Arabidopsis thaliana: one gene and its partners. The protein of the gene in region 3 interacts with the protein of the main gene of each other region in a pairwise test. Each region holds a gene or a part of one and is shown on either strand. Other genes may lie near its edges. The genes, in order: PAR1, BEE1, RHD6 and MEE8.

Evidence for each region.
Region 1: the proteins of RHD6 (region 3) and PAR1 interact in a two-hybrid assay, tested with the Arabidopsis thaliana proteins (one large-scale study listed by BioGRID).
Region 2: the proteins of RHD6 (region 3) and BEE1 interact in a two-hybrid assay, tested with the Arabidopsis thaliana proteins (one large-scale study listed by BioGRID).
Region 4: the proteins of RHD6 (region 3) and MEE8 interact in a two-hybrid assay, tested with the Arabidopsis thaliana proteins (one large-scale study listed by BioGRID).

Annotation. Positions count from the first base shown.
Region 1 is NC_003071.7:17,835,229-17,839,713, reverse strand, and holds PAR1 (phy rapidly regulated 1), read left to right. Parts: upstream 1-2,095; 5' UTR 2,096-2,526; coding exon 2,527-2,883; 3' UTR 2,884-3,298; downstream 3,299-4,485. Other genes in the region: AT2G42865 (uncharacterized protein), read left to right, coding at 4,120-4,200, 4,276-4,443. UniProt on the Arabidopsis thaliana protein: Atypical bHLH transcription factor that acts as a negative regulator of a variety of shade avoidance syndrome (SAS) responses, including seedling elongation and photosynthetic pigment accumulation.
Region 2 is NC_003070.9:6,328,853-6,334,787, forward strand, and holds BEE1 (BR enhanced expression 1), read left to right. Parts: upstream 1-2,545; 5' UTR 2,546-2,611; coding exon 2,612-2,968; intron 2,969-3,071; coding exon 3,072-3,197; intron 3,198-3,298; coding exon 3,299-3,364; intron 3,365-3,794; coding exon 3,795-3,863; intron 3,864-4,147; coding exon 4,148-4,225; coding exon of another isoform or gene 4,226-4,267; exon of another isoform or gene 4,268-4,637; coding exon 4,638-4,724; 3' UTR 4,725-5,004; downstream 5,005-5,935. Other genes in the region: AT1G18390 (Serine/Threonine kinase family catalytic domain protein), read left to right, coding at 1-467, 568-1,083. UniProt on the Arabidopsis thaliana protein: Positive regulator of brassinosteroid signaling.
Region 3 is NC_003070.9:24,793,233-24,798,309, reverse strand, and holds RHD6 (ROOT HAIR DEFECTIVE6), read right to left. Parts: upstream 3,097-5,077; 5' UTR 2,985-3,096; coding exon 2,457-2,984; intron 2,356-2,456; coding exon 2,251-2,355; intron 2,166-2,250; coding exon 2,100-2,165; intron 2,020-2,099; coding exon 1,954-2,019; intron 1,844-1,953; coding exon 1,712-1,843; 3' UTR 1,295-1,711; downstream 1-1,294. UniProt on the Arabidopsis thaliana protein: Transcription factor that is specifically required for the development of root hairs. Acts with RSL1 to positively regulate root hair development. Acts downstream of genes that regulate epidermal pattern formation, such as GL2.
Region 4 is NC_003070.9:8,873,246-8,877,488, forward strand, and holds MEE8 (basic helix-loop-helix (bHLH) DNA-binding family protein), read right to left. Parts: upstream 1,590-4,243; coding exon 1,362-1,589; intron 1,275-1,361; coding exon 1,209-1,274; intron 1,120-1,208; coding exon 1,060-1,119; intron 963-1,059; coding exon 879-962; downstream 1-878. UniProt on the Arabidopsis thaliana protein: Required during early embryo development, for the endosperm formation.

The DNA of each region.
Region 1 (4,485 bases), on a different chromosome or scaffold from region 3:
AGAGAAGATAACTAATTAACTTCCCTTGATTTGGAGTTTTTTAGCTAAACATTACATATTTTCTTTCTTAATCTTCCCCTTTCTTAATTCTTAAAAAAACATATACTGTCTTGTCTTTAACCAAACTCTTCTCTTTTATTTTTGTGGCAACAAAAATAAATAGTGAAAGGGAATCATCTCAAACTCCTCCTAGATATAAATATTTAGGTTTTCGTCATTAAATAAAAGTTATTTTGGAAAAAATAGAAACAACGAACAAGATACAAAAGGACATAGAATTGATTATTCCAAGACGACGAATGTGAAAGCTGGCTAAAAGCTAAAATTAAATTTCGAGTGTGTTATTTTTGTAACATATTTAATGTAAGTGCAAATACATAAATAAATAGATACTAGAATTGGGGAGAGTGTCAGTTTGGTAGATGGTGAAATGCGAAAGGCACCCGATTTTTGTAAATCTCAATCCCGAGAAACCAAACCCTCCTTCGTCCCCTCTTTGGAAACATCATCTCTTTCTTTATTTCTCTCTTCCATCTTCTTCTTCTTCTAAAACAACATCTTAACAATTTTTAGTATTACTAAAAACCCTAGACGTAAAAGAAATGTGTTATTCTGTTCCTGATCTTTGTCTTAATTAAGACCATACATTATTTCTTTTAATTAGATGTCAATCATTATTCTTTACTAAATTTTTTTTCTTGAGTAGATTTAGGTTAATTTGCAATCTTGGATTAAAGACCTACAAAAATGCAATTGTTTTTTTTTAATGCAATTATTTTTTATTAAGTCTTTATCTAGTTTTTATATCATATAGTTGACAAAAGAAATGCACCGGAGGGCTCATTTATGGAACCAACATTAAGTAAGATTTACTATAACGGTTTTATGTATAAAAGATGTATATTATAAAGATCTCTAGCTAGAAACATGTAACACTATATTCGAATCCAATAACACTAAACTTCCTTGGCTTTCTTCTTGTTATATAGTGGCCATTTCTCTAACATTATAGATATATTGAGATTGTTGTTTTTACGTGGTAAGAAATATGGGATGTTAATTGGAGTTTCTTTTAATAAGAAAAAGGAGTTGACAAAAAAAAAATGAAGGACAGATTTAGGAGGTCACTGAGGTGGGGGGGACCCAAAAAAGGGTTGACACGTGGCCACCATGCCCGATAGATATCATGTGGATCTTAGTAGGATTAGGTCCTCAATTGTACGAACAAGTTCACTATCTCTTAGAGGATCTATTTGATCTCATCCATCTAATAATAATACTATATTACAGTCTGTACATAATGTATAGAGAGGAGGAAGCACATGGGAATGGGGCTTTGAAGATGGAGATATTCATGTGACCCGCACATGTCCTCTCCTCTCTCTTCCTTGTTCCCATGCAAGTAGTGTCTCACTGTATCCTTCTTCTTTTCCTTCCTTATCTCCACGCGCGTGGTCGTTTTCATTTCGTCCGTACTACGTAATTACGACAAAACTTACTCTTATACCATCAGGCATTAGTCCATTACCAGGCACCACCCGAATGGCCTATAAGCATAAGTGCATAACTATAGGGTTTGTCGTCGTCTACTTGAATTTTTCTTTTGGAAATTTAAGCTCACATAAAATAGTTTATACTCTTTATTCTTGTTGTAGAAAATAAGACTGGTAACTATGCAAAACAACGTATAGCAGCTATTACATTTATGGCTAAACCAGATCACAAACCATTTAGAGTTTAAATTAAAGTTCGAATAATATTTTAGCAAGTAATCCGGCTTGATAAATAAATGAGACACTTGCTAAAAGTAATCCGGCTTGTATTAACAACGCATATCCTAATACAATAATAAAGCATTGTTGTATAATTAGTTAATTACTATGTCAAACGTCTAGCTCTTAAACAAACAAATTTAACGTGCCAAATCTCATTTATCAAACAAACAAAAAAATCCAATCTAGATGCGAGGTTGATCCACTTAAGTGAGTGATGAGTCCACTAAAGTCTAAACCAGTCGACATGGCGCGTGAAAGCTCTTCTTCTAAAGATCCAAATCTGTGGAAGCAACCAAAGTAAGAGATAATTAAATAAATCTCCACAATCCGAAACACGAGGATAATAAAATTAAAAATAACGCACAACTGGACCCAGCTTTGATGGCAATACCGCTCATTTAACCATTTCCCAATTTCTAAATGTAGAATTTATTTTATATCGTTTCAATTTTTACATCGTTTTTTATAGACAAACCAAACCAAAATTCGTTCATAACCGAACCTTTCACTAATGTAAGCAAACAATGTAACATAAAGCATAGCAAACCAAATCAAACCGATAGAGTATTGTCTCTAAACTCGCAACAAACCAAAATAAAATCAGGTTGAACCGACCACATTTCAACATTTTTGTCTACTAAATCCATCATCACTCATATATATATATATAACACACACAGTTACACATATCCACATTCCTTACTTGTTCATTATTCTCTCAGACTCATCATTCATCTCTCTCTTTCTTTCAATGGAAGAAACTCTAGCCACTCCCGACGCCACGAGACGCTCTCTGTCACCGTCATGCTCAGCCACCGTGAAATCACGCGCCGCTGGTTTCGAGCGCAGAACCAAACGGAGATTGTCAGAGACTAACGCAAGCGTACGTGAAGACCGAGAAGAAGCAGAAGAAGAAGAAGATGAGGTCAAGGAAAAGATTGAGGCGTTGCAGAGGATTATCCCCGGAGGAGCGGCGCTTGGTGTGGACGCGCTCTTCGAAGAGACAGCTGGTTACATTCTGTCTCTACAATGTCAGATCAAAACCATTAAAGTCCTTACTTCGTTTCTTCAACGCATAGATCAAGAAGACATGAAGTTCGGAGGTTGAAGATTATCACACCAAGACTGCTCTTCTTTCTTCGATTCCTAAAAACAAAAAAAAACGTTTTTTTTTTTCAAATCTTTTATTTCCTTTTTTATAACATGGGATTTTAGCTTTGATATATGAGGAAAGAGACTCAACATTTTTTTCTTCGAATTTTTTTTTTCTTTAGTAGGAGTATAATCTTTAATTTTAATGTTCTGATTTATTTATTAAGCCGTTTCACGGTTATGAGAAGTGTTCATTAACGAAAATTAGCATTAATTAATGTAGTTATATAACTTATTTTAGTAGGACGCCATATAGTATAGATATTAAATTGGATCACGAGGTTTCACTTGCATATGAGATTTGACATTAATGATATTGAGAAAGTTAATGTTACGTGGCCCATTTTTAAATCTGGATGAGCTCATTTCACATGCTTTATTATAACAAAGATTTCCAAAGTCGGTCGATATTTATTTAAGCTTATGATGAACTTACTAGATTTGAGTTCCCGTGGTCCAACAATAGAGTTCATGTATATTCCTTGTACATACATATACAAGACAAATCTTTTTAGTCGTGTAAGTACTAGAGCTAGCATCTACACAGAAATTTAAACACATTTGCCGCTAGAAAAAAAACAATATCAGTTTTAGTATTCATTATAACGTAATTTCTGACCCACAACAATGCAGCTATATCGAACTCTATGGAACTATTTACTCCACACATAGCGGAAAGTCGGGGAAGATATAATTTTCTTACCAACCCTATCTACTCTCTATCCAAATTACATTACAAAGATGAATTTAAGGTTGAACATCGTATAGTACGAAGTTGTAATCAATAATGTTAACTTCAACATCCTTTACCAAACCAAAATTTAAAATAAAAACCATTGATAGATTATAACTAATCACATCCTGTATGGGCTAAAAGCCTAAAAGATTACGATTCCACATGTTTTTTGATTGCCTTAGTTATGTTATAATTGGGCTTAACATAACTGGGCCTGAACCCATTAAACACTAAGAGGTCCGTACAAAAAAGGATTCGCGGCAATATTGTCAAGTGTCAACTACCCTCGGAACGACTTCTTCACTAAAAGTTAAAACTTAAAACCCTAAATCATTTTTTTCTGGTGAATTGAAATAGAATTCTATTTCAAGGAATTGGAGAAGAAGAAGCAAGAATTGACACGGGATAATCTGGAATTGAAGGAGGAGGGTGAGATTACTGAGAGAGATTGAGGAGATGAGAAGTCTGGAAGTGGAGATGAAGCAGAGGTGTGGAGAGATGGAGATTGAGATGAAGCAAATAGAAGAAGAGAAGAAGGTTTTAGAATCTATATCGACGGGAGCTGTGGAGCTTGAGAGTGAGTATTCAGGATGATCTTATCACTGCGTTGAGCGGCGAGATGAGACGGTGACAGAGGTGGCTGAATTGAAGAAATGGTTAATGGAGAAAGGTGATAGCTTTGAGAGTTATGAGAAGGAAGTAGAGAGTTTGACGAAAGTGAGAAGTGATATTGAGAAGAGGTTTAGGGGAATTGCAAGTCTGAGAGGAAGCTTTGAGTGAATGGAGAAGAAATTGAAGAAGGTTGAAGAAGCTAAGAAAACG
Region 2 (5,935 bases), about 18 Mb from region 3:
GAGTTCATATTTTCTCTTACGAAGAACTTGAAGAAGCCACTAATAACTTCGACCCATCTAAAGAACTCGGTGATGGAGGCTTTGGTACTGTCTATTACGGTAAGCTTAAAGATGGACGAAGCGTAGCCGTTAAACGGTTATACGATAACAACTTCAAAAGAGCAGAGCAATTCAGGAATGAAGTTGAGATCTTAACGGGTTTACGCCATCCAAACCTCGTGGCTCTCTTTGGATGCTCCTCAAAACAGAGCCGGGACTTACTGCTAGTGTATGAGTATGTTGCAAACGGCACGTTAGCTGATCATCTACATGGTCCACAGGCAAACCCTAGCTCACTTCCTTGGTCTATTCGGCTCAAAATCGCTGTTGAAACTGCCTCTGCCTTGAAGTATCTCCACGCCTCCAAGATCATCCACCGTGATGTTAAATCCAACAACATCCTTCTCGACCAAAACTTCAATGTCAAGGTCAGTAACTCACACTGGTTATTACTCAATCTGGTGGGATTTTATCGGATCATAATCTTAACTTCTTTCTGTGTTTTTTTTACTGTTTTCGACATTTTAGGTTGCGGATTTTGGACTCTCTAGACTGTTTCCTATGGATAAAACGCACGTATCTACCGCTCCACAAGGAACTCCGGGATATGTCGACCCGGATTACCACTTATGCTATCAACTCTCAAACAAAAGCGACGTGTACAGCTTTGCGGTAGTGTTAATGGAGCTTATCTCTTCACTTCCAGCAGTCGACATCACAAGACCGCGCCAAGAGATCAACCTCTCGAACATGGCAGTCGTTAAAATCCAGAACCACGAGCTCCGCGACATGGTGGATCCGTCACTTGGGTTTGACACGGATACAAGAGTGAGACAGACGGTGATCGCTGTCGCTGAGCTGGCGTTCCAATGCTTGCAGTCGGATAAAGATCTTAGGCCATGTATGTCGCACGTGCAGGATACGTTGACGAGGATACAGAACAATGGATTTGGTTCGGAAATGGATGTTGTAGATGTGAACAAGAGTGGACCGTTGGTTGCACAGTCTCCAGATAGTGTCATTGTGAAATGGGACAGTAAGTAAAATTAGTCGCACGGCCACTAACATTGTATGTGTTTATTATTTGTATGTTTAAAATTGTCAGTTAACAGTTAGAGAATGGTGTTCGTGTTCTGTATTAGATGATATTTTTGGGAATGTATATAATGATGATCTTGTTCCGATTCCACCTAGAGAGGGACCGTAACATACAAAACTTCGTGATTGGGCCTGACCGGACTAAATCAGCAATTTTGTATTGCTATTTGCTGCCAACTGAAACTATTTTTTTATTAGTGGTTAATTTTATTTTTTTACGGAAAAGGTAAAAATATTTGAGACATCAAAATAATGATGGTAATTAAGTAACGCCAGCTCAGCGACGGCGATGACTATCCACCAATTTAACGTCAGAAGAATATATATATGTATATTGAGCTTATCTTCTGTTTCCAATGTAAGTGGAAAGTCCACTGCTGCAATCACAATGTAAGACCTGCATCTATGAAGTTTTAATGAAAGACACTTTCAGAGAAAAAAAAAAAAAACTTCTGTTTCCAAAATTTCCTAATTAAAGCACACCAATTTGGGCATGGATGCTTTACTACTTCTATTAATGAACAAGTTAAAGAGTAAGTTGTCTTGAATGAATGAAATTGCATGTGAATCAAATCCCTCCACCATACATAATAGATAATCTATAGTAATGGCCCAACTAAACATTGACATTTGTTGCAACCTAACTCTTTCCTAAAAGGAAGAAAAAAAAAAAAAAAAAAAAACTCTTTCCTAAAACTCAATGTGTTTGATCATCACAAGGACAAACAAAGGAAATCTCTAGTATGCCGATTAAAGTGAAAATTTGTCTTCACCAATATAAATAATTTGGTAACTTAAACTTTAACTAAAGATTCATAAATTGGCGTCAACTTATGTAAAAGAACCTTCATATATACTTTCGTTTATCTCCCTATATTTTTATACATACACATATTTATAGTATTTTTGTCGATTAATTGGCATTGGCCATTTGGAAGTTATAATTAAGTTGGCAAATGGATGTGATCTCTTACCCTATACACCTACATAAAAAACCCTCCATGCAAAACATTAATGGATGTTTTCATTAAAACAAGTTTTGATATCAACTTAGTTTGACTAGCTACATCCATTTCAATATTTTCTTCCCAATATTAATAATAAATTTAAAGATAGACCACTAGTTCTTAACCTCACACCAAACTGACTAGAAATGTTCTTCCCCCTTGCAAACAGAGAAAGCCTAATGGAACCCACGACCAAACATTGGTCCTACTTTTCCTTGTTTGGACATATCTCCCCGACACACAAATCCCAGAACGTTCACTTGCCCACGTGGCTCTCCCTTTATTTCTCTCTTTTTCTTTCTTAATTTTCTCCACATTTCTTTTTCTAAAATCATAAATTAAATTAATAAAAAAATCCAATCGAACAATATAAAAGTCTCAAGTTTTGTATCAACCAGTCTAAAGAAGTTGTCAGAAAAAAAAAAAAAAAAAAGTGTCAAGAAGATCATATCTCAATTCATTATATTATGGCAAATTTCGAGAATCTTTCTTCTGATTTTCAGACAATAGCCATGGATATATATTCTTCCATAACTCAAGCTGCAGATCTAAACAACAACAACAGTAACCTTCATTTTCAAACATTTCATCCTTCCTCTACTTCTCTCGAATCGCTCTTCCTTCATCATCATCAACAACAATTACTTCACTTTCCCGGAAACTCTCCAGACAGTAGTAACAATTTCTCTTCAACTTCAAGTTTCCTCCATAGTGATCACAACATCGTCGATGAGACCAAGAAGAGAAAAGCTTTGTTACCTACTTTGTCTTCATCAGAGACTAGCGGCGTCTCCGATAATACGAATGTTATTGCCACTGAAACAGTAATTGATCTCGAAACCCTAGCTAATTATCTTATCATTTTCATAACTTATCATTAAAAAGTTCGTTTAAAATAATTACTTTTATTGTCTAAAAAATATCTAGGGTTCTTTGAGAAGAGGTAAGAGGTTGAAGAAGAAGAAGGAAGAAGAAGACGAGAAAGAGAGAGAAGTTGTTCATGTGAGAGCCAGAAGAGGCCAAGCCACTGATAGCCACAGCTTAGCAGAACGGGTAAAATTGCTTAAATTGTCTATATAAATTCATTTTTTTTATAAACGTGGTGTATTCATTTAAATTTATATACATGTCTACACTCTATATCAAAATTTCAGGTTCGGCGAGGGAAAATAAACGAGAGATTAAGATGCTTGCAAGATATGGTGCCCGGATGTTATAAGGTAATAATGCAAAGATAAATATAATAGTTTAACATTTTCAACTTTTCATTACTTCTTTTTTAATATATTTGTAATCAAAATAGAAACTAATGGCCATTAAACAATAAATAGCATATGAAAAGGTCATCATCGGCATTAATTGTCACTAATTATACTTGAATCAAATTTAAGCATTTTATGATAAAAGTGATACTTTTAGTTAAACAAGAACATATGTATCCAAAAGTATTTTTAACATGCATGAGTGTGATTTTAGCTTTTTTCTTTGATACCGCTCATAATATTTTCCGAAAATTGTTCTTCGGATTTTTTTTTGTTTTTTTTGTTTACAAAGAACTCAGAAAAAAAATTGTAGAAAAAGTGATGTGATTTTCTATTGATTTAGTGGTGCTTACTTCTTATAATGAAAGTGTATGTTTGGTGGGTGCAGGCTATGGGAATGGCTACGATGCTTGACGAGATAATTAATTATGTCCAGTCTCTACAGAATCAAGTCGAGGTAAATAATTTAAGTTGTAATCATAAACTACATATATCAATAAGACTTTGTCTTCTTGTATTTTGGAGAAAGAAAAAAAAAACTAGAAAATGGAGGTTTCATGAGATGGGAGGTTCGGTAAATACCTACTTTAGTAGTACTTTCCGAAACACGGCAAATCTTAGATATTCGAAAATTACAAAAAAAAAACGAAAATCTTACCACACACTTTAAAAAACTTCCAAAACACAAGCTTTAATTTTATAAATTACTCAATTTTGTTTCATGTTTTTTGTGGATTTCAGTTCCTCTCGATGAAACTCACTGCAGCAAGTTCGTTTTATGACTTTAACTCAGAGACAGATGCAGTTGATTCCATGCAGGTACTAGAACATTCTAATAATGTTTTTCAATTCTTAAGATAAGCATATATATAATTAATTAGTGGTAGTCTGGTAGAGATGTTGTAATGGGTCCGGTATGTTTTGATCGAGTCGGTTCTACAAAGATTTATTCAAAAATACAAGTGTTTGTAGTTTAGATTCAATCTTATTAGACTATAATATATGATCACGCGGACTATATGACCCGCAATTAAAATATGTTCGACAGGTCAAATCCAGCCTTTGCATAATTGATCTTGTATGGTTTATTGGTTTAAGTAGTCTCTTTTTTTTTGGCATTATATTTGCATGGTTTAAGTCTAACTAGTTGTTGTTATGACAATTACTTTATTTTAACGTGATAAAGTATTTCTATTAGTATTGAATAATATGAATGGAATACAATTGGCAGAGAGCAAAGGCACGTGAGACAGTGGAGATGGGGAGACAAACAAGAGATGGGAGTCCTGTCTTCCATTTATCAACATGGTCCCTTTGACTTTTGTTTTCTCTTTTCTCTTTTCCTTCTTTTTTATTGTTTTCGAAATTATTCTTCTATTTATTTGGATGCGATATGTCATATATACGACCCAACTTGGGATAATATTTGTAATCTGTATACTTGTAATTTCGACGATATAAATTTATTGGTGACTTATAATTGTCATGTAAATATCTCAGTTGTCCTCTCCCTTTTCGCTTTGCTATTTCGTTTGCTTGGCACCTTTTTCCTTTTCCTCTTATGTAATTGTCCTCTTAAGTTATGAAATGATCAGAAATAAAATTCAACAGAATTTTTTTATTTTGTTTCTGCAAATGAAGTTATAAATCATGGATGAATTAGCTCATATGTCAAAGTGTTGATGAGTGAATTGACGATGATGGGAAGAGAGAAATCAATTGTAAATTGTATATATTACCAAATCTTCAATGAAATGTGATTAGTCTTTATAACAAAAAGAAATGAGCGTTACCAGTCGGTTTAAATATTGATTTTAGTTTATTAATTTTAGGGTCGAGAGTTCTTAGTCTGATTACAGACATGCATGTGCTTTTGATGTCTAGAGTTCCACTTCACTTTCCTACGTAAAGTGGGTTAAAAACGGCTTCGGCTATAGAATTACTAAAAATGAAGATTAGTTTATAATATAAAACGATATGTTCTTGTTAAGGGATTATATTTCCATTCATATGTAATTTGCTTTTGGTTACTAAAAACATTTTCCTTTTTCAGCGAGAAAGGCATAGTTACATATACGATAAACTGGAAGAGGCAAGTTGCGCAAGGTTTGGTAACGAAGAGGAGTTATGGAACCAAAGAGACTTTGTCGGTGTAAATTAACAAAAACACCCTTCACTTCTGTAGCTTTCCAAAGACAATGATGTGTGTCTCCCAAACCAAAAACAGAGACAAAATAGTAAATTGTGATGCGAAGCCTATGGACGTGTTTTACAGACGAACAACCAATCTCTTGAGACTTCCTTCCTCTTTTGTGGTCTCTCTTATTATCCATATATGAATATCTCTTATATATTTCATATTTTTTTCAAAAATAATTCTAATAGCGACGGTTCACTTCACAGGATCTTACGGATGTTGCCTATTCATAATCTTTATGATTGATAGAACAATTCAGATATTTGTATGATCGTATATATAAAGAAAGTGAGGGTATAATAATACACTTTTGTCTTTCTGTTATTCTCTCT
Region 3 (5,077 bases):
TTAGGGATGGTTTGGATTATTTTTTGAATGATTTTAGGTTTTATATCTTTGTTTTATGATTCTTAAAGTTTTGGAACGAATTACAATTACCAGTGAGTGACTACAATTGACGGTTATATGTAGTTAATACTTCTTTTAGTTTCTTTTTGGCAAAGTTAATACTTCTTTTCAAAATTATATTTTTAATGTCAAATTGTCAATTGTTTTTCCTTTCATGTGCATATACATTTATTTTAACCTAACTTAAGTAAATGATTTAGAAAATAACATTTAAAAGGTAATAAAATTGATTTTTTTCTGTTTCTATAAATAAACTCAAGTGTAATATAATACAATAAGACTAATATTTTACAAAACTTCTGAAAACAAATCGAATTGAAATTTTGATATTTCGTTTCAATTCATTCATTTGTTTACATAATGCCAGTCTAGTAAGATAAATATGGAATCATGTAATGGATTATAAAATAAATAGATTATTGGACTTCTTAATAACTTCGTTTGTCTTATTGACTTGATGGAGCTCGTAAGTACATAAATACAAGTACAGCGCCTAAAGTGGGATTATCCATGTGGCTAATCATGTAGTTAATTAATTTAATAATTTTGGACATACATTTGAATATCAATTCAAATGAAAACAATGTATAAATTAATAAGAACACGTATCCCTAATCTTTCCCAAAGGACACATGCTGACATGGGCTGATAAATCGAGATCTTAGGTATGTCGTCCAATCAATTAATATAATCTCATACTTAATTTGAGAAATAATTTTATACGATAAAGGTGCTGATGTGTATCAGTGTATGGTTATCCTACAATTAATTGATAAAAAAAATATATGCTATTCATCACTGATTTTAAGATTTCTCAACTTTTGGTTGAATACTTATTTACCTACATATAAAAATGTTTATATTTTCGAAAATACATATTTTAGTGTACCAAAATTATATCATAAAATGTTTTAGCCAAGCAAACTAGGTTAACATTATGTTTTGATCATTCATACAGAGAATGTGAAAATGTTTTGCACAGAAGAACTCGTCGTCCTAGAGCAATTATAAATAAAAAAATGGTCTATTTTGGTAATAGAAATTCATAGTTTATCTTTTTTTTCAAAAAATACTATGCATTGCAATCTATATAGAGACCCTATAATATGTGTGACAAACTTTTGACGAATTTTAAATAAATAAGCATGTCGCTCAAGAGCTAGCTTTAATAAAGCCAAGCTCAAATAGACAAAGAAAGATGACAAAAAGATAGATTCTCTGAAACTGAAACCTCAAGGAAAAAACAAAAGTGAAGAATTTTATTACTCATTTCTTGGAGTTTAAATAAAAGATCTGTATTCCGTAGACTAAAACACACAAAATACAATTAAAACAGAAAAAGAAATTGAAAAACATATTTATGTTTTTAACACTTATTTACTAGTTAAAGATTCCATCCCCGTGTGGACCCATATCAGACTGATCATCGGTGAATTCAATGTCTCTTGTCTTCTCTTCGTTATAGATGCATTAAGAACTTCTCGATTTTCACATAATCTAACGTTACATAATCTCGATTGTCTTCTCTTTGGATCATATTTCAAAATTTACGTGGGATTTATAATCGAGAGAATCATTGTTTCCCCCGATATTATTACAACGTACGTAATTAATGTTTGATAAACTGATTTATTAATGATAAAACCCTTCATTAATTGGTGATCAGATTCGAATTCCTGTCTCGTTGTGATGAGGAGAGAATGGCATCAATGGCGTCTTTAACTTGAGAAATGTCAGGAGCTTTTCCTCCTTGAGCCGGCCAAAACTCATCGGTCGCTAATACCTAACAAACAATAGATTATATCAATACGTGTTACGTAATAATTCGATAAATATGGTAATTAAATCAATCCTGAAAATTAATTTGAGGGATGTTTGTCATAACTAATATACCTTAACTTGTACTTGAAGGAACTTGACATAACTAATAGCCTTTTCAAGCATTGTCACCAAATCAACCTGTGAAACATAACAAATATTATTATCATGAGAATAAGTAATATAATAAATCTGTCATAAATGGTTATATGGATGTGTACCTTGGTGCCATTGGGAACAAGTTCTTGCAATATCTTGAGACGTTCACTTATCCTTTCTCTTCGATTCTGAACAAAATAAAACATATGTAAATATGTGTTGAGAGATTGAGTTTTATTTTAATGAATGTAAATTAATGTCAAGAAAGCAAACCTTGGCTGCTAGGCTTTGTGGATCTTTAGGTGAAGTTGTTGGCTTAGGCTTGGTCTTTCCGGTCACACCGCTACTCAGTTTCTTCGACGGTTGAGTGCTCTCTCCCTATATATCCATAATTCAAATTGATAGTAGTATATATCAACGATCTTTCATTGACATCTTATATGAAAAATATTCACCAAGACTTTGTTGTTTGTAATTACCGTGTGAGAACGTTTGTTTCCAGCGGATTTAGGCGAAAGAGACTCGTTTCTAGAACCAGTGGTTACAACAGTTGAATCAGAATATAACCAGTCTTTCTGGCCTTGGGGAGTTTCGGTGGATCTAGGGCTAATAATATCCATATGATGTTGATGATTCCAGTTTGTGAAGCCGTAGCTCATGTTGTTGCCCTCCAAGAAGGAGAAGCCGCCCCCACCGCTACTACCACCACAGCTTATGGCTGGAGGAGGAAAGCTCTCGTGATGATCAAAGTTAAGAAATGATGATCCGTTGAAATCCATCAAAGAGTTGTGATGATCTTCACCGGATGGGTAAAATACAAACCCCTGATGTTGTTGATGATCTGAATTCATCGTGCTACTGCTCGAAGCCGAGCCTCCTCCTCCTCCTCCACCGGCATAAGCTGCATCTGGCTGATCCAGTCCCGGCGAGGAGAGATCTTCGGAAGAGGAGGAATTTTGTTTTGACAAGTAATTGGTCTCGTTGGGATGGTCATTAACGAGTGCCATTAGACACTAATAAGTTTGATAAGTGATTTTTTGTTTAGGGTTTTTGTGTGTCTTGTTGACGAAAAGTGGCTTTAAGGTTGTCTATTGGTAAGCAAAGAGAGACAATGTGTTTGTGTAGTTATGTTATGATAAAGGTTTATATAAGTGGTTTATGTCTAATATTTTATTTAAGCTAGTGACGTATTCTTAAGATTTTTTTTTAATTTATTGAGTTTGATTAAACTGATTAGAAAAAGAAGCTGGCATTAGATCAAATTCAATATTTTACGTCATTTTTTAAACTCTTATCAGTTTGAAGCTTCGAAGTTATGAATGCATAGAATTCTAGCTAGACATATGTTATTTTTTGTACATTTCCTTAACTGGGAATATTGGACTAGCATGCCTAAAACGTATGGTTACTAAAAATGCTTGTATTTGTTTTGTTTTTTTGTAGTCATTGTCTCCTTGTAATGTTGTTAGTAACAACTTGTTACTCTGCCTATGGACACTCATATTTCTTAGTTCTTTCAAGATAATGACATCCATTTTACTCCGATGTTCATCGACAGACACTACACAACATTTTTTTTTTTTTTTTTAATGTGATACTTGAAGATAATGACAATCACTTTTCTACTAGATGAATAGTTCTAATAAACACAACCTTACATGTTTTCTGATACTTTTTAGATCCTCTTTAAAAAGATAGCTAAAATTTTGGTATTCTAACTTTTAAATTTTACATATTTATGATACTTCCACATATTCTTTCATTTCGTACTAACTGCACTGGTTCCATTATTTGCTTCTATCCCACTATTTTCTCACAGTTAAATTTGTTCCATTTTTTTTTTTTTTGGACAAAAAATTTGTTCCATTGTTATTATTTGAAACCTTACTCTATACAATAGTTCTTAACCAAAAAAAAGTTGTATGTTTAATATATCGTAAAATCTACTACATTTTTATTTAACCAATAAAACATATTCACATTATTATTTTATTTTTAATTTTCAATTAACTGAATGGATAAATATAAATATGAAAAATGTAAATTAAGTATTAATTAATTATAAATTTCGATATTTATTGAAAATTGTAGTAAGAATACTGAGTTTTCATTAGTTCTTTTTCACTTTTAATTTGTTAAACTCAAATGAACCCAAATTAAGGTATTTTTTTTTTTAAAAAAAGAATATTGTAAAAGATTGTCTATAGACAGAATTATCTTTTATGGTATTTAATCAATTGAATCGAGTCGGTACCATATATGTTATATAAAAAATACTCCAAACATAGACCACTAATACTGGTGAGGAAAAATTATATAAGTTATTTGTATTGTATATAATTTTAGCAACTAATGTGGCACTGTAAAACCACATGATCAACAATGTAAATAATAAGAACTCATTTTAAAAAATGGCATAGAAAAAATCTTGACGTCGGGGAAAAATATGGATCGCATATCAAATACATCATTATCTTTTTGGAGTGATAAAAAAAATGAATGAACGTAAATTAAAGTGTTGTATTACAATATTTATGAGTAATTGTTGTATTACAATATTTATGAGTAATTCATCGGGATTGTTAGCTGGCAGTAAGGTGAAATTAATGGACTGAGACTTTATAACCCCAAAAATAGTTTATTAATTAAGAGAAGCGAAAAACATAGAAGCAAAATCATCGCCGTATCTTCCGCTAATCTACACGTCTTTTTGATTCCCATATATATGATCGATTCTAATATATATCAATTCTTTCGATGATTCATTTTCATTGTTTATTTTGTTTCGATGATTCATTTTTCCTAAGAACCTGCTTCTTACTTTCATTTCTTTAGCCGACACGTCGACTTATAAGTAATATACTCCATAATATAGTTGTTTTAGGCTAACTTGTTTTATTTATTTTATCTTCGTTAATATCTTTGTATATAATCTTTTTTTTTTGTTGAAGTTTTGGACATTCGGCCCATTCTTTGGGTTTAGAGACCAAAACATGCTAAAACCTTTTTTTTTTTGGTAGAAATAAAATTCAAACTAGTTCGATACTAATTTATGTTTTGTACAATCCGTCTTTATTGAAATAACGTTCTTTTTTATTCC
Region 4 (4,243 bases), about 16 Mb from region 3:
TTACGGTATTTAAAATATAAAAAAAGAAATTCAGATATTTCTTATACAAAGTAAATACAAATATATCAAATATGGGTTTTATCATATGAAATTTGTTTAAAATGTGATAATATCTAATAACTTATGAAATTTGAAGAATAAGTAACATGAAAAGATAAATATCATATTAACAAATAATAAAAAAGATAATTATCAAGATAATCTATATTCTCAAAATTACAACTGATTTTGCTTTGTTTATAAATATAATTTTTTTAGAAAAAAAAACAAATTATTGGCCTCCCAATCTTTACCGAACACTTCATAAAACAAAATCTTTGTGGTATTTTTTTCATTTGTTTTGTTATTTGTAGTATTTTTCCAAAATATATAAAACAGAAATTTCCGTATTTTAAATACTTTCAATTAATCATAAACACATACAAATATTTAGATATAAGATCAATTCATCTAACACTTATCCTAATTTTTTAAATTGAATTACTTGTTTTAAGGATCATACACTGATACTAGGTCCGGTTGTTAACAGATTAATTTTTCATGAAGACCAAAACATATCATAAGGTTTTTATTAAAAGAAAATGGCGGACAGTAGGCGCCTAGTGTTCGAGTATTGACTGATCAAATCATTAACTTTTAATTTGCAAGATCCAGTAGTACTAAGTTCCGAACGGAATTTAATTAAAGATGGTCTCATGGCTAAAACATAACTCGTAACATCTAAACCAAAAACATACAATTTTATTATAACAAACAAACGAAGAACTGAGGCTAAAACATAACTCGTAATATTTAAACCAAAAACATACAATTTGATTATAACAAACCAACAAAGAACAACTGAGAAAATAAGAAAACTTAGCTAATCGAAACTTTTATCAAGTATCTATATAATACAAAACGGCACCAGCTTCAGTAAACAGTCTCCAGTCGTCACATATTCCCTGCGAACCCTTGTAATGCTGGAAATGAAGAGAAATTTAAAAACCAGAAAGATAAATAATCTTTAACGAACAGATCAGAGTATGGCCATAAAAAAAAATTACCTCCGAAAAGAACTGCAAGGCGCAAGTTGTTCGTGTACTCGATAACGCAATCAAGGATGGCGTTGATATCAGACTGTAAGATTATACGGAAAAAAAAAACATTAACAAAACTAACATTTCCCAAGAAAAAAAAATCAGTTAACAAAGGAAGCAGTTGTGAACCTGTGGGCAGTTGGGTGTAATTTCCTTAAGTGTTTCTAGTTGCCTTCTTATACGTTCCCGCCGTTTCTTCTAAGGTATCCAAAGAAGAGAAAAGAGTAAATCAAGAGTTTCTTGGGGAAGACGTATCATAACAATACAACTATTATTGGTTACCTTCTTCAACAAGGTATCATGATCAGATTTGTCTGAAGATTTAATCACGCACTGTGTCTTAACTCGCTTCTTCTTTCCTTCTCTCCTCGACTCAGCTGACCTCTTTTGCCCTACTTTCTCTACACCTTTTTCGTTGTTGATCCTACGCAAGTCACTATTCGCCTCTGGATTAGTGAGCGAGTATAGTATCTCAAACCATTGCCGAAGAAATACTTCGTCCTTGTTCATTCTTTTGATAGTTTTAAGTGATTCTTTACTGATAAGTTTGGCTGATTTGAGTTTAACGCAGACATGCTTCAAGGGTACTTATACAGGGAGAAAAGGATATATATGTAAACTACTCATGACGAGAAACAACAACGTTTGCCGCTCAAAAAGCTACTCTTCGTCACTAAGTTACTAATTCTTTAAATAAAATTACATTTATGTAAGGTGGACATCTAAGGTTCATAGATATAGCCAAGAAATGTAACGTGTCCATTTTTGACCTAAGTCTACGGTTTAAAAAATTAGAGATTTTGGAATGCAGGATATATACACACATAATACGACAATATTAGGACCTTACGAAGTCACGAGGCTCTTGTAATCGTTTACTCAGAACTCCACATGCATTAGGAGTACTCTACGTCGTACCTTTAATACAAATATTTAAATATTTTCGAGAATGATCTAATTAATCTAGTGATGTAAGTTACAATATTTCTGAATGGTACCTTCCGGTTTAGAGAGAACCTTGAGTTGCTAAGGGAGATATCCGGTTATAAAACGGTTCATGCGGCAACCTTGTTTATCATGCGGCAACCTTGTTTGTCATGCGGCATGATCTTTGTCAGCATTCAGCATGTATGTTGGGATTTAGACTTTCTAAAATCTTATCTAGCACTAAAGTTTTGACATCAGCCTTATTTGTCTATATGTATGGGTGACATGGTAATAATTTCTTTAACTAAATCTCTGGGATGATTTTTTAAATTAATTTGTAGTTTCTTTAAGAAGTTACACAACATGAGGTTATAACAATTTTACGTGACATATTTATAACTCACAAATGAACTATTTTTTGTTTTTTATATCTCAGGTGATCGTAAATGCTTTATAATCTCGGGATATGGAAAACAATGTTAAATTGAGCTATTTTGTTTTTGAAATATGAAAATTCATAGTTTAAAATTTACACAATCGATATAATATTCTACAGATTGAGAAATTTATTACCCGTATATAATGATAAGTAAGATTGATTTCAAGAACTTTTGGATCATGAGTCCCTCTATTTTGTTAGTCTTAGTTTAGGACTCTTCAGATTCAAAGTTTTATATATTAAAAAAGTAAATAGTTTCTAAACATGAGTGTTATATCATCGATCCAAACAATTGGTTTTGACAACGTTGCACTATTTAGGTAAAATATGCATCCATGGAAACCAAGATTAATAAACATGATGTTTCGAAAATATTAAAGAAAACTGCAATAGAGAAAGAAAAAAGAAAAAAAACACAAAGACCAAGTGAGATCATGTTATTGCGTAATACATGTGGATTGCGTAGTTTGGTAATGATGTTAGATAGTCTATGCGCTCCAGTGCTCCACAGCAACGGCTAACTTCTCGAACACACGCTCCTATTTTCAACGTGCCAAAGTTAGAGCCTAGCTTTGATTATCTTTTCTGGTCTATACTCATATTTTGCTGCTCCATGTATCCACCATCTCTTTTACTGGGGCACACTATATATATGTAAAGTGCTTTTACTGATAAAAAATAGTAAACAAAATGATATTTTAATCTTTTTACGTTCTCGTAGTATTCTTTTGTCCAGTCTAATTTACAAAGACTGAGAACATTCATTCTTCACTTAATATTATATAGTGTTGGTGCCTTGGTGGTATGGATGATTGATATGCTGAGAAAGCAAAGCATAAAACATAGGTCCAGGCATGTCTGTTCAATGTATGATATCTCTTTTAGCAACACTTTTCTTCTATCCTATCGGAACTGCAATTACTTTTTTGGTGTCATTCTCATTCATGTGCTTTATTTTATAGGAAATTTTAATTATTTGAAAGAAGTTTCTATTATTGGCTGTTAGTAAAACCTCTAAAATTAATCTCACTACTATGAATCAGCATCTATAACTTCATAGTATATCACCACCACAACTATGTTTTTTTTGTTAAATCCCAAACTGTTATTAAATGTGAAAGATCTTTAATCAAATACATATAGACAATCTCCATTTGTATAACCTTATGTTTATTTCCTTTTAGTTAATTAGCTTGAACTAAGTTTCACAAATTACATTTACATCTACACATTCACATGCACATACATTGAATATCAACTAATTTTAAAACTGATTAGTTAGTATACGTTCGGAGTAGCTAGACAACTATAGACATCATGATTCACATTTTTCAATAAATTGATTACTTGATGATACAAATGTGTGTGTTAACGGCTGGAAAACATACAAAGAGGGACATCATAGTTCATAAAGGTGTTCCCTTTATATATAGTTATACATAGAATGTGGGATAATCATGGAGCCGTACTAATCACTCTATTATTTTCTTTACAAAATAAAGTAGAAGTAGGGGTATTACTTTTTCTACTCCAGCTTACTCTTGTCTACTGCAACTATTATTCATTCGACTGGAACCATTAGCTCATACATATCTTGTATACAATTACTTAAAAATTTGTATTGTAAATGATAATCATAAATATACATTTTTGTTTGGTAATTATAATCATATTAAATATAGTTAATTGTTAAAGGTCGGTTAGTTTGTCTCATTCCTTTTGAAGTATGAAAATCACAAATTTTCATTAAGAGAAAACGAAAAATAACAAATAAAACAGCTTCTTTTAATATTAAAGT